Kluyveromyces lactis: one gene and its partner. The protein of the gene in region 2 interacts with the protein of the main gene of each other region in a pairwise test. Links are inferred from orthologs where the notes say so. Each region holds a gene or a part of one and is shown on either strand. Other genes may lie near its edges.

Region 1 (4,260 bases), on a different chromosome or scaffold from region 2:
AATCCCTTAATGCACCTGTCAATCTTCGAAGATTAGCCTTCTTCTTACTATTTGATGGTCTTTTAATCATCAATAAAGCACTATTGCTGTAATTCTACTTGGAAACTTCACCTATGGTCCGGGAACTGGTTAAATTTCGTTATGTTCTGGTGTAAATGTTGTATTGAAACGATTATTCATTATCCTTAACTAAAATATGTCAATTTAAATGTTGCGCTGCGTAGACTAAAAATATTCAGATGGGTATTCGCATATACAATTAAATGGGTCTATATACAATATGTGGAGTATTTCGACAAAGCTTCACAGTGAAGGATCTTTTTACACCTGTAAATGCAAATCTCAATGTTCTTTTGCATCGACTGTCCCCACTCTCTGGTCATTACCCTTGGATTGCCAACAATCTTTGAACAGTTTCATTTCACCAAGACACTGTCTCCAATCATTAGTCTCTGCATGGCAAAGTTGTAAAGCTAGATTCTCTACGTAACAGCCTGTGTTCGATATTCTCTTGTCCCAGGCATCAGGATCTTCTTTATCCATATCCTGATACTCCGCTAATGCTTCCTTGTAGTATTTTGATTCTCCTGCAGACATAATTGAAAGTATGAAGCTACGACAGAATAATTGCTATTGACTCGGTCAACGTATCACTGTAGACTGTGATAGTCGTTTCAAGATTAACTGTTGCATGTACTATTGCACTTATTGTATTGTATTCTACTAAATTAACCATTTATACTTCAGTGTTTTTACTTTTCCAATTAAACCTTGCTCTCGATTGTTCTTTATGGCCACTGAACTAATTTTCCGTTCCAAAAGCTTGATTGAGCTACAAAAGGTTTAATGACTATTAATATAAGAAAAGAAAGCTGTGTTAAAAAACGTCAGAGATCCCCAAACTGCAATACAACACTATTGATCTATGTAATAAACGACCAGGCTGCGGTTTGCGTTGGCGTAATTGCACCGGGAGATCACGTGATATAAATGCTTTCAAGATTATGCAATCTCCAGGCACACAACATATTCAGTACTTAGTGCGGGATACCTACTATAAACTCAATAATTGTACAGTAACATAGGTAGTAAGATCCCTTTTCGAGTATACATTGTCCATGTTGTTGTCCCTTTGGATGGTGTCTCGCCTAATTTTGGGCCAGATCTCGACTGCAAAAAAATAATTTGCTGAAGTTTTTATAAATGATGGGAACTGAAGAAACCAAAGAAATTGAAGATTCAAAATATGTAAACCGAATTTTAGGAAAACAACAGCTTGTTCTGATCTTTTTCAGAAGAATAAAAGGTGGCTAAACAGTGTTACACGTAGCATTGAGTTTGCGCATCAATATTAGCTAATACCCGTGTGATAACTTGAAGCAATGGTGAAGCTAGCTGAGTATCCGCGTACGGCTACGTTTTCATGGTCTCACGATAGGGTGCCAGTTTTGGCGACTGGTCCTGCATCTGGAGCCATTGATGCTGATTTTTCAAGTACTTCGACATTAGAACTATGGTCGCTATTGTCTTTTGATGGGTCTAAACCTAGTGGATCTGTTGTCGCTGACGGTAAGTTCAACGATTTGGATTGGTCGGGCGATGACAAAATAATTGCTGGTGCCTTAGAAAATGGTGTTGTTGAGTTTTTCGATCCAAAAGCCTTGAAATCTGTTGCTAAGATCCATAAACATCAGGGTCCTGTCAAGACATTGAAGTTCAATGCCAAACAGAACAATGTTCTTGTCTCTGGTGGCACTCAAGGTGAAATCTTTGTTTGGGATTCAAACAAGATCGGATCTTCAGATTATTCTCCTTTTTCGGCTGGTATCAGTAATACTCCAATCGATGAAGTTTCCTCGTTGTCATGGAACCAATCGTTGGCACATGTGTTTGCATCAGCCAGTTCTTCAGGGTATGCATCTGTGTGGGATTTAAAGGCAAAGAAACAAGTTTTGCATTTGAACCACAGTTCCTCTACCACTGGTATTAAGGTCCCATTGACGGTTGTTGACTGGCATCCAACCAGCTCTACCATTATTGCAACCGCCTCTAGCTCAGATACAGAACCTCTTGTCCTAACGTGGGATCTAAGAAATGCTCATGTACCATTGAAAGTGCTATCACAAGGACATTCAAAGGGTGTTTTATCGTTGGATTGGTGCAAACAAGATGAAAATCTATTGTTATCCAGTGGTCGTGATAACACTTCGGTGTTATGGAATCCGCAAGAAGGCTCCATCTTAACTCAGTTCGCTCCACGTGGTAACTGGGTCTTTAAATCCAAATTTGCTCCTGAAGCTCCAGATTTATTTGCATCCGCATCCTTTGATAGTAAGATCGTCGTTCAAACGTTGCAAAATTTGAGCAATACCTTGGATGCTCAGGCAAATGAGAGTAAGCAACATGCTTCTGAGGATGAATTCTGGAACAATGTAACCTCCAACTCAGTTGATGACAAACCTAACACTGTCAAGATCCAAGCCCCAAAATGGTACGGCAACAAATCTCCTGCCGCTCAATGGGCATTCGGTGGTAAGCTGGTTAGAATATCCGATGATGGTAAAGGTGTCAGTGTAGTAAAACCTTGTATTTCTGGACTGGAAAAGAATCAGCTTTTCGATGAGTCCTTGAAATCCAAGGACTTCGTGAAATTGATCAATAAGAGATTATCACAAAAGATCAACGCAACAAACGAAGATGACTGGAATTTACTAGAGAATCTATCTATGGATGGAACTGCACTTTACTTGAAAGATGCATTATCATTAGATGATGCCAAAGAAGACATCATCAAAAAGTCAGAAGAAGATGGTGCTGACTTCTTCAACCAACTAAACGACAAATTCGTTCCCGAAGGCGCTTTCAAGCTTGATTTTTCTGAATCAATGAAACCACTCACTAACTTTTTGATCAAAGGTGATTTGAAATCTGCTTTAAATCAGGCTTTAGAGAAGGACTTGTTATTAGAGGCTTTGGTGATCGCTATTACTTCCAATGATGCCTTGTTGGCGGATAAAGCGAAGAACGCCTACTTTTCCAAGCATTCTGAGCAATCTGGGTTGGCAAGAACTTTATTCTCTGTTGCTCAACGCGATGTTGAAGATATTGTTACAAACATCGATGTTTCTCAATGGAAAGATGCTGTTCAGTTCATTTTCAACTACACCAAGGAAGATATCTCAAAGAAAAATTCACTTTTAGTAAAATTAGGTGATAGATTACTACACGAGGGAAACAGAAAAGATGCTATTTTATTATATTTGAGCGGCCAGTCCTTGGAAAGCATTGCGTCAATTTGGCTGAAAGAATTCCCTGAACTTGAAAATCAATTGACGTCTCAAAAGGACACCTTATACGAGGCCCATCTGGAATGTTTAACTGAATTTGTGGAAAGGTTCACCGTGTTATCTGACTACCTTGACAAAGGTACTGTTAAATTAACTAATCAAACGCTAATCTCAAAGTTTTTGGAATTCGTCAATGTCACAGCTGCCAATGGCGATTTCGAGCTTTCATTAAGATTTTTGGAAACTTTACCGGACGATAACGAAGAGGTTAAAAGTGAAAAGCAACGTGTGCTGATTGCCTCCGGTAAAACAAGTACTACTAGGTCAACAGAAAGGACAGCAAACAGTACCCTACAATCCAGACAAGGAAGATACGGTTCAACTTCCGTACCAACTGCCAATGGTGCGCCTCGTTTATCAAACTCTGGAATTCCTCCCCCAAATCCTTTGGCTGCTCCTCATCAGCCTCCTGCCTCAACTGCTCCAAATGTCGTCCCAAGAAAGCCAAGCTTCGTTCCACAGACAACTTCTGCAATTCCAACACCCAATCCATATGCTCCGGCTGCGGTAAATCAGCAAATTCCTCTATCTGTTGTGGGTTCCAGACCATCTTACACGCCACCAGTGAACCCATATGCACAAACTGCTACAAGTATCCCACCTAACCCATATGCCCCACTACCTGTGGCAGCGCCTGTACCACTTGGCTCTCCAGTCGCTCCGCCACCAATTTCCGGTGCTAGTGGATATTCTGGTCAAACGCCTCATCTACATGATAAACCAATCGACGGTTGGAATGATCTCCCATCAGTAAGCAAAGAAAAACCAACCCGTGCCAAGGCTGTCAACACAGCTCCAATTGGCATGTCAACTCCATCGTATGGTACCCCCGATCTTGCAGCGGTTCCACTTTCGAGAGCATCTACAAACTCAACGCTCCCACCACCACCGCCTAATGTGAGAAGAACACCAA
Region 2 (4,105 bases):
AATCAGCAAAGGTAGTGGTAGGAATACCGAATACACAAGATTACATATCGGCGGTGGAGCCCAAACTAGATTCAATTAATGTTATTTCGAACGACTCCATTTTGACTCTTGACAAGACTCTTGAACAGTTTCCGGGTCCGCTAATCAAGGGAAAATCAAAATCCAAAGATATTGCTAAGTGGCTAGATACTTATATTGAAGAGAAGAAACTAAAGGGTGCGAATGATACCTGTATTTTGCTTGAGCTCTTAAAACTGCGTTTGGATCCATCCTACAGTTTAAAAGCTGTGACAAATATAATTTACGATTCCAGTATATTGCTTCCTTATTTGTCTCAGCCGTTCATTCCAAAGGTTGCTGCCCCGAATGCTCACAAACTCGATGCCAATTCTTTGATTAGAGTTTTAACGTTATTGCAAACAGGCGCACATGACGATGCTTTAAATCTTTCTCTAGCTTTAAAAGATTATGCTATGGCATTACTATTGGGTAGTATCCTAGGAAAGGAAAAATGGTCGTCAGTTGTGGACCAGTATTTGACACAAGAATTTGAGCAAAGCAACGAACGAGACATCTCTTCTATTAATTTATTGGCTACAATTTTCCAGGTTTTCATTGGCAATTCTAAAAAGGTGATAGATTCTTTTAAACAAGATCCCACGAAACTAGAGTGGTCTCTAAATAACTGGAAGTTATTGATTGCATGTATTCTAAACAATTGTGAGGAGGTGCCTGCGAATGGAAAACTTTCCCCTATTGTGGTGGAATTTTTGCTTCAATTCGGAGAGCTTTTGGTCAGCAGAGGTCTTGTCATTGCTGGTTCCATCGCTTTTATCGTTGCCGATATTCCAATGTCCGAAGAGCCTTTGATTCCGTTTTCTTCTACAACATTCGAATACATTTGCTGCCCAAACTCATTTGAAAGTTTGATCTTATCGGAAATATACGAATTTACGTACGGTCAGAAAGATCCATCATTCTCCGGATTCACGTCATTGATACCGCAGAAGATAATTCATGCAGCTGGTTTAAGTGACTACGGTTTGAACAGTTCGTCAACAAAATACATGGATATGGCCCAAAGTATGCTAAAATCACTTCCTAAGAACTCAGAGACTACCTTGAAAACATTACGCTATATTGAAGATTTGAGTAATCAACTATCGTCTAGTAATGTAGGCTGGTTAGGGAAGCCAAAATTAAGCAGCGTATGGGGACAGCTTGACAAATCCTTCAACAAGTTTATCGGAGGTGACACAGACATTGATGAGTCAGAAACAGCAGCAATTGAAGACAAGGTCTTTGAGAAGTTTACACCAACTTCTTCGAGAAACCCATCCATGGCAGATTTATCACAAGCAGCATCCTATTTGACTCCTGCGTTGAATCGCTCACATATCAATCAGCTACAGTCCAATAACAGCTCGCTCATTAAATCAACTACGAAAATCCTACCGGCCTCATCATTACCTAGTAGAGAAACTCATTCTAAATACGGTCCACCACCACTACGTGATATGAAACCTCAGTCTAAAATTGGGGAGCTCTATGGCAGCCATTCTAATATAGAACCTTTGAACTCCACTGCATCTGCTCGTAACACTGTACATCCATCACACTTTGAAGAGCCTGATAACTATGTTAATCCCTCTGGTGCAACCTCTCTCGGACAAAAAGAACTGCCAAATTCCAACTCTACACCTGAACCTGTACTGCCACCTTTAGCTCAAGTATACCCTGGATATCAAATCCATCACGATTTATCAGATGGCAATTCTTCAGTCTCTTCTGGCCACAGACTCTATAGTAAGATGGGTGTGCCAAACCAAAATACTGCTTCATTCTGCGTTCCTTCCCCAATAGTCTCTCCACAATCAACGAAGCATCAATCATCTACTTCCAATAAGGCACTACCGTTAGAAAATCTATTCGATGATACAGTCACCTCGGGTTTAACCACTGAATCTACCCAAACTGGGAGTAATGCGCCACCTCGTTTCCATGAAAATGAACAACATTCGGTAGTTGATGACATTGTGGAAGAGATTGGGAATGAAATTGATGCAGAATTAGATGAATTACAGCACTCAGAGTTTTCAGACGATAACAATTTCGAGAGTACCGAACAAAATTCGATCTCTGGCGTTGAAGGGTCTGTTTCTCAGTTAAACGTCACCAATCAGTTACCTGTTGCAGAAAACTTGCAAGAAGAGGACAAAAATCAAGTAACCGATATTAATGTTCCCGTCACGCAAGCTCAACCGCTCAACTCTTTTTCCCCGGCCTCTTCTATTTCTTCTAAACCTTCTTCTTTGAAAAATATGAGTGTAGACAAAGCAGAACCTGCGAACCCTTACGCACCTAAGAATAGCTTCGGTGTTGCTCCACGCACTGCAAGAAAATCATACAATCCGTATTCACCTTCTTCTATTACGGAAAGTCATTCTATGGCATCCCTGCCTCAAACCTCAACTTCGCCTTATAACAATGATAATAATAGTGCTCCAGTTAATGAGACAGGTGGCCCAGAAGATCTTGCGATGTATGCGTATGGAAGCTATAAACTGTCCGGTGAAGATGCCAAACCGCAAACTATTGATTCTCCAAACGGACAGAAACAAGAAATTGAAAACAAAACGTCCTCACCACCTCTAAATTCTTTTGTTCCTTCTAATATTGGTCTCGGAGAAAATTTGATTTCTGTTAAATCTATTGGATTACCGGCACACTTGCAGAACGATTCACAAACATTGCCTTCTTCAAAAATCAAAGATCCTGTAATCAGACCGGTTCAAACCTCAAATTTCGTACCATTCATTGTCAGTGATACTAATACCGAAGAGTACTATGATGACTTGGTCGAAGACACAGAAGACGAAGATGAAGACGAACCTATTTCAGTAAAAAGGGAAATATCCGAAAGAAACTCGGAAAATCAAAACCAGAAAGTGAAAAATGATGAAGATGAAGATGAAGTTAAAACTGTGAGCGAGGATGAAGCCGGGAAACCTGATAAGAAGCAGAAGAACGAATCATCAGGAGGTTGGTTAGGCTGGTTTAAGAAGGATTCTAACGAGAAAAAACCTATTAAGGCCAAACTAGGACACGCGAATAACTTTTACTATGACGAAAACCTGAAAAGATGGGTTAATAAGGATGCTACTGAGGAAGAGAAATTGAAAGTGGCGACTCCACCTCCACCACCTCCTGTCGTAAAGCGTAAGATGTCAAAAACGCCTGAAATAAAACCCCGTCAAGGTTCAGTTGTGGGAGGTCCAGCGTTACGGACTGCACACGCAGTTATGCCCACCAATCCTTTGACCGGCAAACCGCTTGATCCTGTGAAAGACTTCTCCGATGATGCAGAGACAAAGTCGGAATCACCCGTATCTTCGAAACCACCTGTTTCGAATACTAATGTCAACTTATCTGGGTCAAAAGCAAACGGTCTAGATGATTTAATGGCATTGACTGGAGGCGTTAGCAGCGCATCGTCGACGAGAAGGAAAAAGAAATCGACTAGAGGTTACGTTAATGTTATGGAAAATTTATAACATCACTTTGTTAACTAGTTCTTCCGATAATTGAATTTCGAAATTGTTCTCAAGTGTATTGCATATAGCGTTAAATGAACCTAGTGTACTTCGACGTCTATGAATTTACTGAAAATAAATAAATATAGTCATTAATGATCATCTTTTACATTGGTATTTACAAGGTAGTATCGTAAAGCGAGGCCTTTTAATTACTAAGATATACTTTTATCAGTCTTTTTTAACAGGTGGTTGAACTCTGAACAAGTCTCCGTTAACTTTCATTCTTTCGATTACAATTTGGTTCGAAGTTTCGCTATCTTTTGGCAATTTCGCGTCTGGTGCACTCTCAAAAACAGAACCAGTTAATAGAATATCATTTGTGCTTGCATCGCAAAGGAAAGCGATATAGTCAATAACATCTCTGTCCAGTTTATCAGTTTTACTTTTCTTCTTGTCGAACTTAATTAACCTTTGTTTGGTATCAAACTTATAAATCAATTGAATTAATTCAACTGGACGACCGGGAATCATCATGGCTTGTGTGGAAACTAACTTTGGAACTTCATTGA

Evidence for each region.
Region 1: the proteins of SEC16 (region 2) and SEC31 interact in binary tests that used the Saccharomyces cerevisiae proteins (3 or more experiments, as listed by UniProt). The link is inferred for Kluyveromyces lactis from reciprocal best matches to the Saccharomyces cerevisiae genes SEC16 and SEC31.

Annotation. Positions count from the first base shown.
Region 1 is NC_006042.1:504,625-508,884, forward strand, and holds the start of SEC31 (Sec31p), read left to right. Parts: upstream 1-1,382; coding exon 1,383-4,260. Other genes in the region: SCM3 (Scm3p), read right to left, coding at 1-70; COA4 (Coa4p), read right to left, coding at 343-597. UniProt on the Saccharomyces cerevisiae protein: Component of the coat protein complex II (COPII) which promotes the formation of transport vesicles from the endoplasmic reticulum (ER).
Region 2 is NC_006041.1:2,124,071-2,128,175, reverse strand, and holds the end of SEC16 (COPII coat assembly protein SEC16), read left to right. Parts: coding exon 1-3,554; downstream 3,555-4,105. Other genes in the region: MBA1 (Mba1p), read right to left, coding at 3,765-4,105. UniProt on the Saccharomyces cerevisiae protein: Involved in the initiation of assembly of the COPII coat required for the formation of transport vesicles from the endoplasmic reticulum (ER) and the selection of cargo molecules. Also involved in autophagy.